Cricetulus griseus: one gene and its partner. The protein of the gene in region 1 interacts with the protein of each later gene in a pairwise test. Links are inferred from orthologs where the notes say so. Each region holds a gene or a part of one and is shown on either strand. Other genes may lie near its edges. The genes, in order: Atf5 and Trib3.

Evidence for each region.
Region 2: the proteins of Atf5 (region 1) and Trib3 interact in a two-hybrid assay, tested with the Homo sapiens proteins (2 studies listed by BioGRID and IntAct). The link is inferred for Cricetulus griseus from reciprocal best matches to the Homo sapiens genes ATF5 and TRIB3.

Annotation. Positions count from the first base shown.
Region 1 is NC_048599.1:153,648,656-153,657,420, forward strand, and holds Atf5 (cyclic AMP-dependent transcription factor ATF-5), read right to left. Parts: upstream 5,873-8,765; 5' UTR 5,811-5,872; coding exon of another isoform or gene 5,569-5,810; exon of another isoform or gene 5,454-5,568; intron 5,391-5,453; exon of another isoform or gene 5,334-5,390; intron 4,598-5,333; 5' UTR 4,488-4,597; coding exon 4,310-4,487; intron 2,813-4,309; coding exon 2,151-2,812; 3' UTR 1,567-2,150; downstream 1-1,566. Other genes in the region: Il4i1 (L-amino-acid oxidase), read left to right, coding at 5,569-5,810.
Region 2 is NC_048599.1:27,707,316-27,715,960, forward strand, and holds the start of Trib3 (tribbles homolog 3), read left to right. Parts: upstream 1-3,959; 5' UTR 3,960-4,030; intron 4,031-4,171; 5' UTR 4,172-4,219; intron 4,220-4,391; exon of another isoform or gene 4,392-4,581; intron 4,582-5,010; coding exon 5,011-5,298; intron 5,299-8,645. UniProt on the Homo sapiens protein: Inactive protein kinase which acts as a regulator of the integrated stress response (ISR), a process for adaptation to various stress. Inhibits the transcriptional activity of DDIT3/CHOP and is involved in DDIT3/CHOP-dependent cell death during ER stress.

The DNA of each region.
Region 1 (8,765 bases):
CATCCTTGGGGTGTCAGACCTGCATGGACGAACACCCACACCTGGTATACAACAGGCTTTTGTTTTGGGAGCACATGGACATAGTCCTAAACCTGGTACCAGAATATCCCCAGGCCAAACTCATTCTTCACACTCCATGGACTGAGGCCACCCACGCCAGGGAACCTTATGGGGCTTTGCCCCACACTGGCCTCCCATTGTTACTCCTCACTCTCCCCTAGATCTCTCTCTAATCCTCTCTCTTCTTTGAATACACAGTACTGAACATCCCATAAATCAGTCATCTGCTTCAGACTGCACCCAGACTCCCTTGGGAACCAGCCACACAGGGCTTTCACTCAGACCCTTGTTCTAGTGGACCTCATTGGTCTCTGTGGGAAGGTTCAGAGCAGAACCAGGGTACATGGTCAGGGTGTAGGCAGTCTAGTAGGAGGAGCTCCAGTGACAGTGTTGGAGTCTCTGACAGCTATCCTGACTCCACACAGGGACCACTGTCATTAGTGATCCATAGCCCTGTCTCCGGGGGATTACTGGAGATCTGCTGCACAGATTCAGGTCTTCCTGGGGGTGACTCCAGTAGACTACACCTCCTTAAAAGGTCAAACTGATGCTATGTGGTTCAACATGGCCACTATAAACTACACTAACCCAAATGTACCTCTTATCTGGCCAGTTACCATGGGAACTGGATCCCTCAAGTAGACAATACTTTGCAGGTGCAAACCTGAACCAAGGCCAGACCTTGCTTTGGGGAGCCCAACCTCTGGAACCTTTGTTTCTTGGGCTCATAGCGCCATGTGTCTGACCTCAGTGGGCTTCCTCAGGGCAGTCCCATTAGAACAATTATTCCCCTTAAGTCTTCTCTCGGTTTCCTTAGATTGTGACTTCACTGACTGCAGTCTTATTCCCCACACTGCTTGGTGCAGAGCCGTGAAATACCCAGATGGCTGCTGGGGACTGAACTCAGGTCTTCCAGAGGAGCAATGTGCACTCTCAGCTGCTAGCTTTCTGTGCAGAATCTATTCTGGAGATTGGAGTCAGGGCCTCATACTTTCTGAGCAAGCATTTTACCACTAGAGCCATTTGCCCAGCCCTCTCTGCCCACTGCTGCAATGGTCCAGCCCTGTCTGATGGTATCATTCTCAGTGTGTATATGCTAGTACCACCTTTGTCTTTCTTCTGCTGCCAATGTAAACAGTAATCGGCCTCAGTTGCAATGTGGTACTTATGTCTCTACTAATGGGTCAGTCATATCTCATGGTCTTTCCAAGTGGATGTACTTGACAATGAACAAATATTACTAGTTACCTTTTGTTTTGCTTCATTGTTTTGTTAGAGATGGGCTCACTCTGTAGCCCAGCTGGCCTCAAACTTAGAGCAATCCTTCTGCCTCAATCTCCCAAATGTTGGGACTGCAGTCATGAGCCATCACACTAAACTTCTCTTATGTTGGGCCCATATTGTGGAGCTTCAGTTCCAGCTCTTTGGTTCATTCTCAGTTGTCTTTATGAGTGCCCTGAGACTCCCTCTCCCCAGCGTCCCCTCTCCAAGATATGACACACAGACCACAGGAAATTCTGCATTTTATTTGTGCCCATAACCCCTGGAGGATCAGCCCCCACTAGATGCAATCCCTCCCTAACACCTTCACCAAACACTGATTCTCTCCCAAAGCTAAATGGCCCCTAGTTACCAACTACAGCCACCCTTCTCTCTTGGCTAACATCTCTCCTGTACTGAGGACTTGACTCCCTTCCGTTGGCTGACTTCTCATGTGTGTCCTATGTCCCCTCCTTAAAGCCCTCCCTCCCTGACTAGGTTCTCATCAGCAGTTACCCTGAGTGGCTTCCTGCCTTACCTCCATGCCAGACCTGACAGTCCCCCGAACCCAACTAGGACTACCTGCAAAAACACACTTGTTTTAGACTCCAGAAACCAGGGTTCAGGCTGTATTCTCAAATTCCCTGAGGGCCTTGGTTCCTCAGTTGCATTGAAAGGGTACAGAAACTGACTAAACCAAATAACCATAGGGGGAGTAGGTAGGGAAATCCAGACATGGATGAGATAGAAGAGTGGGATGGAGGGTAGGAGTGAAGCTGGGGGCAGAGGGATGACAGACCTCCCTCTTCCAGCCTGGACCTGCATGTACCCTAGGTGCTTCGGGTCCTCTGGCTGCGGGCCTTGTACACCTCGATTAGCAGGTCCTTCACGTACTGGATCTCCCGCTCCACCGACTCTGCCCTCTCCCTCAGCTCACGGTTCCGTGCCTCTAGCCCCTGGCACTCGCCCTCCAGGGCCTCGCCCTCTGCCCGCTTCCTCTGGCGGTACCTGAGAGCTGCTGACTTATTCTGATCTCTCTTCTTCTGCTTGCGGTCACCTCTGGTGATGGCAGGACTAGGATAGGGGGCTGGGCGAGAGGGTGAAGGCAGAGGGGCCAGAGAAGGAGGAGGCTGCTGGGGGGCAGGCAGGGTTGCCAAGCCTGCATCCCCTGGCCCAGCCTCACTTCGGCAGTAGACAGCCAGCAGGTCCAGGGTATCCAGAGCAGGGGGCTGAGGAAGGTCAAAGGTGGGCAGGGGCAAGGACAGGGGCAGGGAGGATGCTGGTGGTGGTGGGGAGGGTGGTGGGAGGAGTGGGGCATCAAGGAAGAAGTCTTCCATCTGTTCTAGCTCCTTCTTGAGCAGGGAAGCCATGGCTTCCAGGTCAGGGGGGGCTGGAGAGGGTGGGGGGAGGGTGCCTGGCGGCAGAGGGGCCTCCAGAGGGAGGAGGGCCGTGAAGTCAACTCGCTCTGTCATCCAATCAGAGAAGCCATCACCTGAGGATGGAGGGGGGACATAAAAGGCTCCTGAGGTCTGTTCTTTACCCATTTGGTGCTCACTCATGTCCCACTCACTCAATGTAAAAAGTGACCAGCCAGCCATTGAATTTATAGACCTGTCAGCAGACCAGTAAGTCAGGGAAGAAACCAATGAACCAGGCAACCAACCAACCCACCCACCCACTAACTATTCAAGCAGTCAACAGACCAATTAGTGTACCCACCAAGACACGAACCAATGAATTAACTAACAAATGAGTGAACCATAGAATCTATCAGCCAACCAACCAACCTACTACCCAATGAATCAGGCAACCAACAAACCAGTCAGTCATGTAACAAACCATCCAACCAATCAACCAACCAACCAATTCATTAATCAATGAAAAAGTCAGACAATCAATCAGCCAACCATACTTCACCAATCAATCAACAAACTGATCCACTAACAATGAATGAGGCAACTAACCAATCAGCCAACCATACAGTTCAGTAGCCAACCAAGTAACCCACTGAAGTGAGCAATGAACCAGAGTTCACCAGTCAACCAACCAATCAGCCAATCAAACAGTTCACCAGACTTGTTAATAAACTAATCAACTCACTAACCAATCAGTGAACAAGCCAATCAATGAGTCAAGTCAGTCAACCAACCAATTAATTTACCAACTAAGCAATGGAATAATAGGCTAACCACTTAGTGAAGCAGTCAACCAACTAATGATCCACTCAAGTCAGCTACTACTTCTGAAACCATTGTCTTATCTGTAGGGCTGGTTGACTATACCCCTATACCTATGTTTTCTCTCGTTTACTCATTTATTTATTTGAGACAAGGTCTCATGTAGTCTAGGTTGGCCCTGAACATAGCTGAGGGCAGTCTTAACTTTAGATGGTTCTTCCTCTCCCCCAGGGTGCTAAGATCACACACACACACACACACACACACACACACACACACTCTCTCACTCTCTCTGGATCTCTCTTTCTTGCTCTCTGTCTCTCACATTCCATCTTTATTCATTCTTGTTTTCTGTTTTTGAGAAGCCTAGATTGGCCTGAAACTCATGGGCTCAAGAGGATGAGAAGCCTCTTGAAAGGGGGAACTATAGGTATGTGCCACCAGGGCCAGCTACTTATTATTGCTGCAATTGCTGTTATAGTTAAGAGAGAATGATGTCTGCCCTAGAGTCTCTTAGATGGAAGCACCTCAGGCCTTATCATGGCTCCTTTCTTCTCATCCCCTAGCCCCCAGTTCATATGTCTGTCTACTTGGAGGTTATGTGACTTCTCAACTAGGTCTTTCATCACTTTCAGTTCAACAGCTGTTCCCTAATGTTCCATGAGCTTAGGGACCCTTTGCTCTGAACCCTGAACACCCAGAACAGAGCTGAGGCCCTCAGTACTCATCTTGGGAATGAATACATTCTTCCTTTTCTTGCCCTCCCTCCCTGCCTCAAGCTCAACCCACCTCTGCTCTCTACCTGTTCTTACCTGCCAGGGGCTCTCCCCCCCCTGGAAGCCCGCCCTCCAGGGCTCCCCCAAGGACCTCATAGGGGCCCAGGGGGGCAGGGGCCAGGGGGAGTTTCCCATAGTCTACGAGCCAGCCCAGCCCGCTAGCTGGGAGCAGGGCCCTGTCCAGTTCCAGCCCCAGGGTCGCCAGGAGTGACATGGCTGAGACACAGGCGCAGGGCACGGATGGAGGCTGCACCAATAGTGGGGAGGCAGCTTGGGAGATTGTTCAGCTGGGTGACAACAGGCAGCAAGACAAAGATGGAGGACCTGTGAAGGAGACAAAAGGGGGTGGGGTTGGGTTGGGTTAAAAGCTGCTTGACCTACAGGCCCCTCACACTTCACTTCTCTCCCCAAATTCCAGAGCTCCACACATTCCCAAGAGAATTCTTGAACTCACAAGCCCCATTTCCTCCCTCAACACAGAAACCTATTGTTTCCCTAGGGGAATCACCTCCAGCCCCTCTTCATAAAAATCTGAATCCCAAGGGAATTGTCTTCTAGCCATGCCCCTTCCACATCAATATTCCCTTTAGTTTACACCCTTTAGAGTCCACCGACCCACAGGGATTCCCAGAGGGATTCTGCCATGCCTGGGCCCTTCATCAGTGTCACACACTCAAATCCCACTCTTCCCTTAAATTTTTAGGTGACGGGGAGGGAGAGGGAACTGGGATTGACATGTAAAATAATCTTGTTTCTAATTTAAATCAAAAAAATAGAAAAAAATTTAGGCGACTTCCACAGACTCTACAAGAAGCCCCGCCCACTTGCCTGTCTACCTCGGTTCCCGCCCTCAACTAGCAAGTCCCAGAGGCCCCGCCCCTGCGGTGCTAGCTCCACCTCCTTAAAGACGTTCCTAAACCTTGTCTTCCCTGTCAATCTAAGCATTCCCCGCCCCAGCAGGTGCCTGATTGGAGGGAAGCGGGGCCTGAGTCAGCGCCTCAAGGAATCGGCCTGACTTAAACCCCACCCTTCCTTTCTGCGTCAAAGCGCATGCTCGCACCCTGAAAGCGGGCCATTGTAACGCCGCTAGAGCTGCCCTTCGTAGTTCCGGCCTCGGGTAGGTTAGTGCGCGTGCGCCACGGGGTGTGGGTCGCATCCTGGGAGAAGGGAGGGAGGGAGGGAGGGAGAGGCACTGGGAAGCAGCGTGCGGGAGCGAAGGCGAGCGAGCCGTCTTTAAACCACCACCCCCAACCCTCCGGAAGCATACCCTCCTCCACGGCTCGAGCCCAGCGCGCATGCCCAGCGGACCCACCGGCCACCATTGTCCCTCTCTGCGCCTGCGCGGCCGCGGTTCCTGGCTCCCCGTCTCCCCACCCCCACGCGGCTGGTCCGTGAAGCCCCGCGAGCTCTGGGAAAGGGCGGGAAAGGCGGTTGGAGAGGGAGGGGCGAGCGGTTACTCACTCCATGGCTGCGGAAAGGAGAGGCGGCGACGGCGGCCTCGGCTGAACAGACGGCGGGAGCGGAGAGTGCAGGCGCGGTGAGCGCGGAAGCCGGGCCGGGGGCACCACAGGATCACGGCTACAGAGCCATGGCGGGGGCTGGGCGGGCGGAGGCGGCGTGGCGGGAGCGTTAGGAGAAATGGTTCTGAGAAGGTGGAGAATGAGGCGGCCCCGGGGCCTGGGGACAAATATACCGGGGGCGGCGCAGCGCGGGCCTCCCGGATCCCTCCGCGCCCCGCCCCGCCCCCGCGTGGTCCCGACGGGGCGGAGGCGACCCTGGGCCCGCCATGTCGCCCGGACCCTCAGCACTCGCTCTCCTGATTCGCTAGCTCACGAATGCTTCACGAATGCGCCACCGGTCCCAACCGACGTCGCCTCCTGTGAGCCCTCGTGGGTCGGCCCATCGTGGGATGGCGATTTCAAGCTAGCTTAGCGATTTTAAGCGAATTAAAGCAGCAGCAGCAGCAGGAAAATGCCCCCCAAATGTGTATAAACGCACAAATAGAGTAGCTATGGGAGGTAGGCCACGAAGTCCTAATCACAGGGCTCCTAGTTAACACTTTTTAAACCTTTATTGTGTGTGTGTGTGTGGCGGTTAGAGGACAACTTTGAGAAGTTTTGTTTTGTTTTGTTTTGTTTTACCACCATGTGGATCCCAGAGTTGGAACTCGGGTTGTCATGTTTGACAGACTTTACCCACCGAATCGTTTCACCTATTTGAATCTCTCCACCCGGGCCCTTAACCATCCAGCATGTCCGTGTGATCACACTGTGTGGCCTACCTTCCAAGGTTTTTGTTTGTGGGCATCTTCATTTTCCTCATTCTACAGGCTGGTGCTCTGCCCCTGCGACGACCTCTTAGCTCTCTTACCAGGTGGTTCATTGTTTTGCCCCTTTCCCTGACTTCCTTTCAGTCCTTGGTCTCTTGCTGACCTCACTAGATAATTTTCTCCTGGCCTTGTCTGAAATTGGATGTTTATATTCCATTTAGTCAAAGAAGCCCCATGGTCCTTCCCTAGGCTGATGCATGAATCTCATTTCCCACCCGTGGCCATCCATGTCTGGACATTCCGTCTGGAAGTCAGCCTGCCTGATACAGCTGAGAGACTAAATCAAGACCCAAATTAAGAGTTGGAGATGGAACTCGGTAGAATGCCTGCCTATTTCACTCAAGAACCTTGAGTTCTGCCCCAGCACCACATAAACTGGGGTTGGTGCATACCTATAATGCCAGTATTTGGGAGGTGGAAGCAGAAGGGATCATGAATTCAAGGTTATCCTGGCTGGCCTCGATGTGTTTTTAAGAAAAGATTCAAAAGCCAGGCCAGCAGGAGTATTGGAAGTCAAGGTCAGGGCCTGAGTGCTGAGTGGTGGTCTCTAGACTTGACAGTCTGAGTTATCCCAGGAGAAGCAACGCCAGAAAGTTGTTGGCTGACTTCCACCACACTTGAGTGGTGACATGTCTGTGTTACTGAAAAGGAGTGTATTTTTTTGTTGTTGTTGTTTTGTTTCTGGAGACAGGGATTCTCTGTGGATTTGGAGGCTGTCCTGGAACTAGCTCTTGTAGCCCAGGCTGGTCTCGAATTCACAGAGATCTGCCTGCCTCTGCCTCCTGAGTGCTGGGACTAAAGGCATGTACCACCAACACTTGTCGAATAAGAGTGTAATTAAAAAAAAAAAAAAAAAAAAGGTTCAAGGCTTGCCTGGGCTAGAAAGTCTGTCTAGGGAACTTACCAAGACCCTGATTTTCAAAAAATAAAAATAATAATGGGTTGGGGTTGTGGGTCCATGGTAGAGTACTGCTTTTGAGGTTCTGGGTTCCAGCCCCTGCTATTGTCAAAGGAAAAATGCCATATTCAGAGCAGGTGGGGGAAACTGATTTTGAAAGTTACTAGAAGGAAGTCCTTGGGACCTGACCACCTTCCCTTGGAGTGGGCACTCTTCTGTCCTCTGCCAGTGTCCTCACTTGTCCAGCTGTATTAAGTCTGTGTGGGGTGTGCTTAAGCTATCTTATCACAGACACAGTAGTCTCTACATAAAGACTGCTATTAATACAGAAGTGGATGGATGTGTTCTGTGTTCACTGGTGTGCCTTCAGAATATCACTGGTTGTCCACGGGTTCGTCCGTCCGTCCGTCCTTCCTTCCTTCCTTCCTTCCTTCCTTTTTCTTTCTTTCTTTCTTTTTCTTTCTTTCTTTCTTTCTTTCTGGTATGTATTAGGGATCGCATTTGGATGCCTTGTATTAAATAGGCTATTGAAGCTACATCTCCACCCCATAGAGGGGTATGTGTTTATGTGTTTGTTTTTGAGAGTCTCCTCATTCCAGGCTTGCCTTGAACTTGGCTGTGTAGCTGAGGATGGACTTGCAGGAGTGAGTCTTCTTGCCTTTACCTCACAAGTGCTGAGATGACAGATGTGTACCACCATACCCTTTGTAGGTAATTCTGGATTGACCCAAGGGCTTCATACATGCTAGGCAAGCGTTCTACCACTTAAACAGTATCTCTGGTTTCTTTCCCATAGATGTTTTATTTTTGAGACAGTGTACTGTGGTGCAGTGCCCATGCTGCTCCTTCCCTCGAATTTGGCTTTTATTTTTTTATTTCTTTGTTTTTTAAATAATTTATTAAAATTCATTTTATGTGCATTGGTGTGAACTGGAACAGCAGCCAGTGCTCTTAACTGCTAAACCATCTCTCCAGCCCCTATTTTTGTTTTTGTTTTGAGACAGGACTTCTCTGTGTAGCGCTGGCTGTCTTGGAACTTAGTCTGTAGACCAGGGTCCCTCAAACAGAGGTCTGCCTCCTGAGTTCTGGGATTAAAGGTATACCAGCACCACCCAGTTAATTTGGTATTTTGAAGTAAACTTTTGGAATAATCAGAAAGGTTGCAAAGACAGTCCAGGGTGGAGTACCAGGCTCATAGTTTTCCCCATGGTGCAGCTGTGGGTCTGCACTCCCTTTTTCTGTCCCAGGGTCCCACCCAGCTACAG
Region 2 (8,645 bases), about 130 Mb from region 1:
GGGGTGGTGGTGAGGATCACATGAGCAAATAGAGGAAGGGACCAGCAGAGGCGTGCTATGGTGTGGTCCATGCCCCCTTCATCACTCCATGGGGTCCTTGGGTCACTGATGGCCTGGTCCTTGTCCTCTCCTGGATACGGCCTGTGAAGGCTGTGGGTGATGACAGATCTGTGGGAATGGCACAGGAGACCCCGGAGAAAGGGAGAAGATGTACTAAAATGAGCCAGGCATGCTGGCACATGCCTTTCATCCCAGCACTCTGGAGGCAGAGGCAGGCTGATCTCTGTGAATTGGAGGCCAGCCTGGTCTACAGATCGAGTTCCAGGATGGCCAACGCTATGCAGAGAATCTGTCTAGAAAAACCGAATATAATCATAAAAAATAATAAATGTCCATTTTAAGCTAGGCGTTGTGCATATGTCTATAATCCTATCTACTCCAGAAGCTGAGGCAGAAGAATAGCACATTCAAGGTTGACTTTGTCTGTGCAGTTGAGCTAGGGGCCAGTGTAGATAATTCAGTGAGATGGTGTCTCATATTTTTTTTTTTTTAATGTAGGAAAAGGAGAGGACCAGGCATGAAGCTCACTGGCAGGTTCTTGCCTAGATGTAGCCTCCTGTGGTTAGTGAAGAGCCCTTGGGACAGACTTAGTAGACTTCTTAGGAGAGGCCTTACCCTCTCTGTGGAGCAGATGGGAGGAGGGGGGAATGGGGAGAGCGGGAGGAGAGGAGGAAGGGGAAACTGGGATTGGAATGTAAAAAATAAATTAATAAAAAATAAAAATAAGAAAAAATTCTATCTCAAAATATGAAAAAAAAAATCACTGAGCCTCTGTCTAACACGCAAAAGGCCTCAGCTTGGCCTCCAGCACTACAGAAAACAAAACCCCAAAAACTGATGGAGGAAGAGGTCACCATAAATGCCAGCAGAACAAAACAAGATTATGCAATCCCAGCTCAATCCAGCTCTGACTGAAGCCTCAGAGTCACAGTTTTGCTCTCCAGTTCTTCAGAGAGAGGTGTGAAACACAGAGAAACTCTGAAGTAAGACTTCCTCCCCAAGGCACTGGGGGAGCGAGAGTCTCACATGGGAGGAGATGCCACGCTTCTGCAGTGAGTTAGTTTTCCCACACAGTGACACTGTGCCAGTATGGGAGAATACACTAACCTATACCAACCTTCTCTTCCAATTTTTATTTTCTCAGTAAACTCATTAGTTTTCTTGTATGCTATACATTTATAGATTTCTTCTCTGTGCATATGTGTGTGGGAATTTGTGGGCCACAGTTTGCTGAGGAAGTCAGATAACAGGTTTCTTTTTCATCACGTGGGTTTTGAGGATCCGACTCACGTGGTCAGCCTTGGTGACAGGCACCTTTTACACGCTGAGCTATCTTGCCAGCCCACATTTGTTTTGTTTGTGGAGGTAAGGACTCACTCGATAGCCTAGGCTGAATTTATGTCAATCCTCCTGTCTCAGTCTCCTAAGGCCTGGGATTACAGGCACGGGCCACCATACCTGGCTGAACCATTAATAGTTTAGTTCCCACGATCCTCTGGATTCAAAAGAAATGTAAAACACGCACTAGAGAGCTGGGGGTGCTGCCCTATGCCTGTAATCTCAGCACTCCAGAGAGTTAGACACCAGCCTAATTACACAATGAGACCTTTGAATCAGGCCAAATGTGGTGGCATGCACCTGTAATCTCAGCATGCAAGAAGGCGGGAGGGCCAAGAGTTCCAGGCCAGCCACAGCAGCACTGTGAATCTGAAGCCCGAGTAGGCTGCATGAGATCCTATCTCAATACCATGCCCAGCCTAGACACAGGGGTGTGGGGGTGGAGAGGTGCCTTGGTCCTGCCTCAACGAGATGATGGGACAGACTTAGTAGACTTCTTAGGAGAGGCCTCACCCTCTCTGAGGAGCAGATGGGAGGAGGGGGTAGTGAGGGGAGCTGGAGGAGAGGAGGAATGGGGGAAAAGATGGAGGCTGACACAGTGCTTACTTAGTATGCCCAGTCCCTAGCACCACAGTAAATTGACATTGACACACACACTTGTCATCAGAGCATTGGGGAAATAGGCAGGAGGATTAGAAATCCAAGGCCAACTTCTGCTATATAAATCTGTCTCAATGAAACAACAACAAAACCCAAACCATATAAAATATAAAACGAAAGTTAAAAAAAAAAAAAACAGATTCTGAGAGTGTTTAATGCTATTGGCAATTTTGTTGAGATAACATGTTCAGGCTATACTAAAAACAGTAGGCAAATAAAGTGAATTTCTTTTTAATCCCAGCACTCAGGAAGCAGAGGCAGGCGGATCTCTATGAGCTCAAGACCAGCCTGGTTTACAGATGAGTTCCAGGACAGGCTCCAAAGCTACAGAGAGAAATCCTGTCTTGAAAAACAAAACAAAAAAACCCCAAAAAACCCAACAACTAAAAATAAAAAAAAGTTTAAAGTTTTTTGAGACAGGGTCTGTGTTGCCTCAAACTTGCAATACAGCAGAAGATGAATTTGAACTACTGCTGGGATTATCCTGGCAATTACCGAATCTTGAAAAATTTGTTGGGCTTTTTGTTTTGTGTTTTCTTTTCTTTTCTTTTTCTTTTTCTTTTTCTTTTTTTTCTTTTTTTTTTTTTTTGAGAGAGGGTTTTTCTGTGTAGCCTTAGTTGTCCTGGAACTCACTCGGTAGACCAGGCAGACCTCTAACTCAGAGACCACCTGCCTCTCCCTCCTGAGTGGTAGGACTAAAGGTGTGAGCCACCACCGCCCAGCACTGTGATCTACTTCAAATTACTGTGGTTATTCTTATTCTTATTTTTCTATTAATAAGATCTGTGAGGCAGAGTGGTCAGTGTAGTTACCTTGGGTCCACAGCATTTGAAGAAGGGCAAGCAGTGAGCAATGCCAAGCATACCTAGCTCAGGCCTGATGCTGGTGGGTACACAGAAAACAACCCCCACCGTTTGTCTCCCACAGCTCTGGGGTCTTCCACCTGTCTTGGGTGCTGAAAATAAGTTCATTTATCCCTCCCCAGCGGCCGGGTGGGCAGAAGCAAATTAGATCCCAGAATCCTCTGCTGTATTCGGATTTGGGAGAGGGAGACACAAGAGAGCTGGTTCCCTGGCTTCCAGAACTAGAGAAGCAAAGGTGTCTTGGTCCTGCCTCCCTCTAGCTCTTTCTGGAGGAATTTTTCCCCCCTTTTTTTTGATATGGATGAACTCAAGTATAAAGACATAAGTTAGTATGACAGGAGCACTGGGCCTTTGGGGCTTTGCCAGGGTGGCAGAATGGAGGCAGGTGTCACTACCATGTCTAGCTTCAGCTGTGGCTGGACTCTTGTTCGATCCGTCCACCTCCAGTGTCCAGGGCAGCATCCTAGTTACTGAGTGCCTTGGTATCCCACATACTTCTCTACGTTTTGTTTTGTTGTTGTTTATTTTGTTATTTTATTTTTATTATTTTGTGTTCATTGGTGTTTTGCCTGTGTGTATGTCTGCTGGATCTCCTGGAACTAGAGTTACAGACAGGTGTGAGCTGCCATGTGAGTGCCGGGAATTGAACCTGGAAGAGCAGCCAGTGCTCTTAACCTGTGAGCCATCTCCCCAGCCACAATTTTTTGTTGTTGTTTTTCATGACAGGGGCATCTCTATGGGTTCGAGATCAGCCTGGTCTACAGAGTGAGTTCCAAGCAAGTTAGAGCTACACGGGCAAACTGACCATCCTCCTGACTCAGGCTTTCGAGTAACTGAGGTTCCAGGTGTGCATCACACCCAGCTCATCTAAGCGTTTTGCATTCACGAACTTACTACGGCTCACAGCAACTATACGAAGAGAGCACCGTTCCAAATCCTCTGTTTATGGAGAAGGGAACTGACGCTACCTTTTCTTTGGTTGTTTTTGGCTTTGTTACAGAGCAGGAACTTAAGCGTGGTAGGCAAGTGCTCTCACAGAGCCACACCCCCAGTCAGCCAGGGCGCTAAGTGGCTTTTCTGAGCTGCAACACGAGTCTGAGCAGAGCGGGGTGAGCACTTGATAGGGTTATTTTGGAGGGGAGGTTCCCAGCATTCAGAACGTGGGACTTCTTGCCCAGGTCAAGTTCGGGGCTTAGTAGGGTGGCACGCGATTTTTAAACAGCCTCCGTTTGTTTTTTGTTTTTCACTAGGATCTCATTCCCATCTCATATATGGGGAAATAGGTGTAAAGAACTACGGTAAGGAGAGTTGGTGGTTCTGGGTACTACTTCAGGGGGCTAAGCGGGGGTGGGGGGCGAGTGGCCCGAAGGCGCAGGCGGAGCACGCTCGCTCGGCTACAGGGGCGGGTCGTGGATGGTGCAATCCAAAACCGCAGGGCGTCAGCTGGAGATTAGCTCAGGTTTACATCAGCCAGGCGGGGATGAGAGCCCGGGTCCCCATGCCGAAGCATTTTAGCAGCGGAAGCCGCTACTGCTGAATCCGCGGAGGCTGAGGTCTGGCACGAACGTGCTGGGGACCCCGAGATCGTCTGGGTGAAGCGGGCTGCGGTGCACGGGCGCAGGCAGGCGGCTCTGAGACCCGTGAGGAACCCTAGGACAAGGTACCGGGTGGGGAGCCGCAAATGGGGGGCGGCGGGGTTGTTTCCCCGAGTCTGGCAAGGATGTTGGAAGTCCGAACATATTTATGAATATTCGTGTGCATATTCTCTCCGGACTCTCTCTTTCGTTCTCTCTCACTCTCGCTTTCTCGCTCTCTAACTCCGAAGGCTGGGAGCGCCCTGGGACTAAGCGGTTGCAGTCATTATGCATCCCAGGCCGGCCAGGAACTAGCCATCCCCCTGCCTCTGCCTCCCCGACGCTGGCAGTGCATGGATGTGCCAGTATGCCCAGCTTTCCTTACTGAATTATTACTAAGTTTGAGAACGCCGTGGCTCGGGAGCTTCGGAAAACCCAGGGTGATGATTCTCTGCGAGAGGGTCCTAGCAGGTAAAACAGGGGTTACCAAACAGTCTTTCTTCCCATCTCTCTAGATGCGAGCCACCCCTCTGGTTGCTTCTGCTGGTGTCCCCTGCCGGAAGAAACCGTTGGAGTTCGATGGCAACATTGATGCCGAAAGTACAGTCCTAAAACGAGCGAGAGGACCCGAACCTGGGCCACCCTGCTTCCTGCTGTCCCCGAGTCCACCTCCTGCCTCAGACTTGTCACCTGCTGTGGCCCCTGCAACCCGACTGGGACCTTATGTCCTCTTGGAACAAGAGCAAGGCAGCCACACCTACCGGGCCCTGCACTGCCCCACAGGCACACAGTACACCTGCAAGGTATGATCTGTGGACCCTCCCCCTAGCATCCCAGGACCCTGCAAAAGGACTGGGACCCAGAGGATTGCAGGGTTCTGGTTTTGCAGATTATCACTGGGCTTCTCAACTGACAAAACTTCATAGGACATCATTCAAGCAGTGCACCAGCAGTGCACCAGCTATGGCCAAAAACCAGACCCAAGCAGGGTGTGGTGGTACATGCCTGAAATCCCAGCGCACTGGAGAGGTTGAGACAGGAGGATTGCCTCAAATTTCAGGATAGCCTGAGGTACATACTGAGAGTCTGTTTCAAAAATAAAAAAAAAACTTAGTCCCAATGCTCCTGCTATCAAACTGACATTCTAGTGAGAGTCATGGAGAGATGATATAAACAGCTGGTGAGCCTCGGAATCTGCATGGTGGGGGAGAGAGAGAGGGAGGGAGGGAGGGAGGGAGAGAGAGAGAGAGAGAGAGGAGGAGATGGGGGAAAGAGAAAGCATACTTGTAATCCTGCACTGAGAAAGTGAAGACAGGCAGACCTCCAGAGCTCACTGGTCAGCCAGCTAACCTATTTAGTGAGTCAGTTCCGCGGTCAGTGAGAGATTCTATCTCAGAGAGGAGAGAGAATGAATAAAAGAGCTAGAGACATGGTTTAGTGGCTTAGAGTGTTTGTAACTTGCAGAGACCCAAGTTCTGTTCCTAGCATCCACTTGAGGCAAGTCACCACCACCTATACAACTCCAGCTCCAGGGAAACCCTGGCCTCCTCAGGCATCTGCACTCATGTACACACATACATTCATACACAGACAGACAGGCACACAGGATTGAAAATAAACTTCAAGAAAGAAATTGCATGGCACCTAAGGTTTTCCTCTGGCTTGCACAGGTGCACACACCAGATGAGAACAGGCAATGATGAGCATCATGGGAATAAAGCTGGTGCCAGTGGGGAGCCAGAAGCTGAGAGAGAAGGAGGCAGACATGTGGGAGTGCAGGGGAAGTCTGGGGGGGCGGGGCTTCCAGACGACAAAGGACAGTGCCTGTCAGAAGTTGAAGGAGGCATGGGGAGGAGGGCCCACTGTAGCGACACCTATAATCCTGACACTTAGGAGGCAAAGGCAAGTGTATCTCTGTGAGTGGGCGGCCAGCCTAGTCTACATAGTGAGTTCCAGGACAGCCAGGGAGGCATAGAAAGATGTCTCAAAAAGCTTACCCCCTCTCTAAAAAAATAAAGAGGTACAAAGATGATACTAGGCAGGGCCAGGCTTTGGAGGAGAAAGAAAAAGTAGTATGTACATTTATTTCCTCCATGTTGCCGTAGCTTTTTAAAAATTTATTGTTTTATGTATATGGGTATTTTGCTTGGTGTATGTCCAGAGCCCCTGGAACTGGGGTTAAGAGACAATTGTGAGCCGGGCACTGGTCACACACTCAGGAGGCAGGCAGATTTCAATGAATTCAAGGCCAGCTTGGACTGTTACATAGAGAAACTTTGTCTTGAAAAACAAAACAAAACAAAACAAAGACAGTTGTGAGCTACCATGTGGGTGCTGGGGATCAAACCTGGGTCCTCTAGAAGAGCAATCAGTGCTCTTAACCACTGATTGACTCATCTCTCCAGCCTCTCGCCTTATATTAATGATCACATTTGACGTTTTCATAGAATAACTATATTACAGTCAAAAGCAACAAAGTGCTATATCAGCTCTGCAATAGCCAGCTTCTAACAGGGTCCAGTGTGGCTTCCCACAAGTCACCCCCCTTTCCCCGAACTTCGGTTCCATTCTCCATAATACTGGACCCACCTTCCGGGTGAGTGTGTTAGACCCTCAGAAAGCTGAGGCTTCCAGAATCTTAGCCCAGGACGGCGGCCACCCCAAACACAGAATGGAGGCGAAAGCTTGATGCAAACTGCATGAGGCTTTATTGTAATTTAACGAACTAACCCCATGTTAGCTCGGGTCTTTCACCCACCCGCCATGGCGGATGGCGAGAAAAGACGGCTCCTTGGGTCTCCCAAAAGATCTTATAGGGCAGCGTAAGGGGAGTGTCTAGGGGTACGCACAGGCTCATGATTGGTGTGCCTCCAGGCTTGGAGGGCTTGCCCTGTGTTGATTGGTCAACTGGTTGTTATGGCCCATAGGCCCTCCCAGGGTGGTTGCTATGCTCTCTACGTCATTGTCGTGCGCTTGTCCGTAAAGCACACCCAGGGTCGTAAAGCATAGCGCCACCAGCTAACTTCTGATTGGTTCCTTGTCACAAGACAGGCATCTGACCTCTAAGTGACTAAGGTTCCTTGTCACGAGACAGGCATCTGACCTCTAAGTGACCAAGGCAGGTTTATGGCAAGCACGTGTTCGGCTGTTATGGCTGCCAAAAGGAAGCCGGTTCCTTCAAGTGCTTAATGTCCACAAACTCTGAATGCATTTCCCAAATGCCCCCAATTTGGGAAGTTTTTCCCATGGCTGTATTTGTGGCATAGCCCGGCATGTCTCAGCCCCAAGCCACGGTAGACTTGAGGTTCGGCCTGAGTGGACTTGGAAGAGTAGACTTGGAAACTCCTAGCAACCCAATGGCAATAAAGACCAAACACAGGCATCTTGTCATCTTTAGAGAGCTCTCAGTTCCATGTTGTAAAACTAGAGTCTCTTGTTTATTGGACATCTTCCTGTCTGTTATCTAACCATGCTTCCAAGGCCACGAGGCCATTTCTATCTCCTTCAGTTGATCTCTCTGCTAGATGGCTCCTAACTCTCTGCCCTTACTTACACACCTAGCCTTCTGCCCAGGTGCAGGCCTATTCAAATGCTTAGTTATGTAGAGATGCAAACTAGGGGACATTCACCACTGAGGCCAAATGTCATTCAACAGATTAGCTCGAATCTGCAATACAATTGTAGGCCGGAGCTGAACCGGAGGTTTGTACCTCCAGATATTTCTTAATGAAACTTTCCTGGTCCCCAAGGTATTTGGATTATTCAGGTCCCTTCTGAATCCTGGGGTCACACGTTGGACACAATCTCACTGTGTAGTTCTGGCAAGCCTGGGACTTTGTAGATCAGGCTGGCCTGAAACTCACAGAGATCCACCTACCTCTGCCTCTCAAGTGCTGAGATTAAAGGTGCATGCCACCATGGCAGGCCAGAACTTTCTAAAATAAGTGTTCCCTTCCAAAATATTAGCTCACACTTGCCTAGCAAAGAATGGTCCTGGCTTTGATTTCCAAGACTGAAAAACAAAGTATTCTGGATTCTAGCTTCTTTCTTGGTTCCTTTGAAAGACGTGATCTCTGGGCTTGCTTGTGCTGCACCATGGACATCACACAAACAGGGCAATGCTGAGTCCTATCAGCTGAGCAGGGGCTGC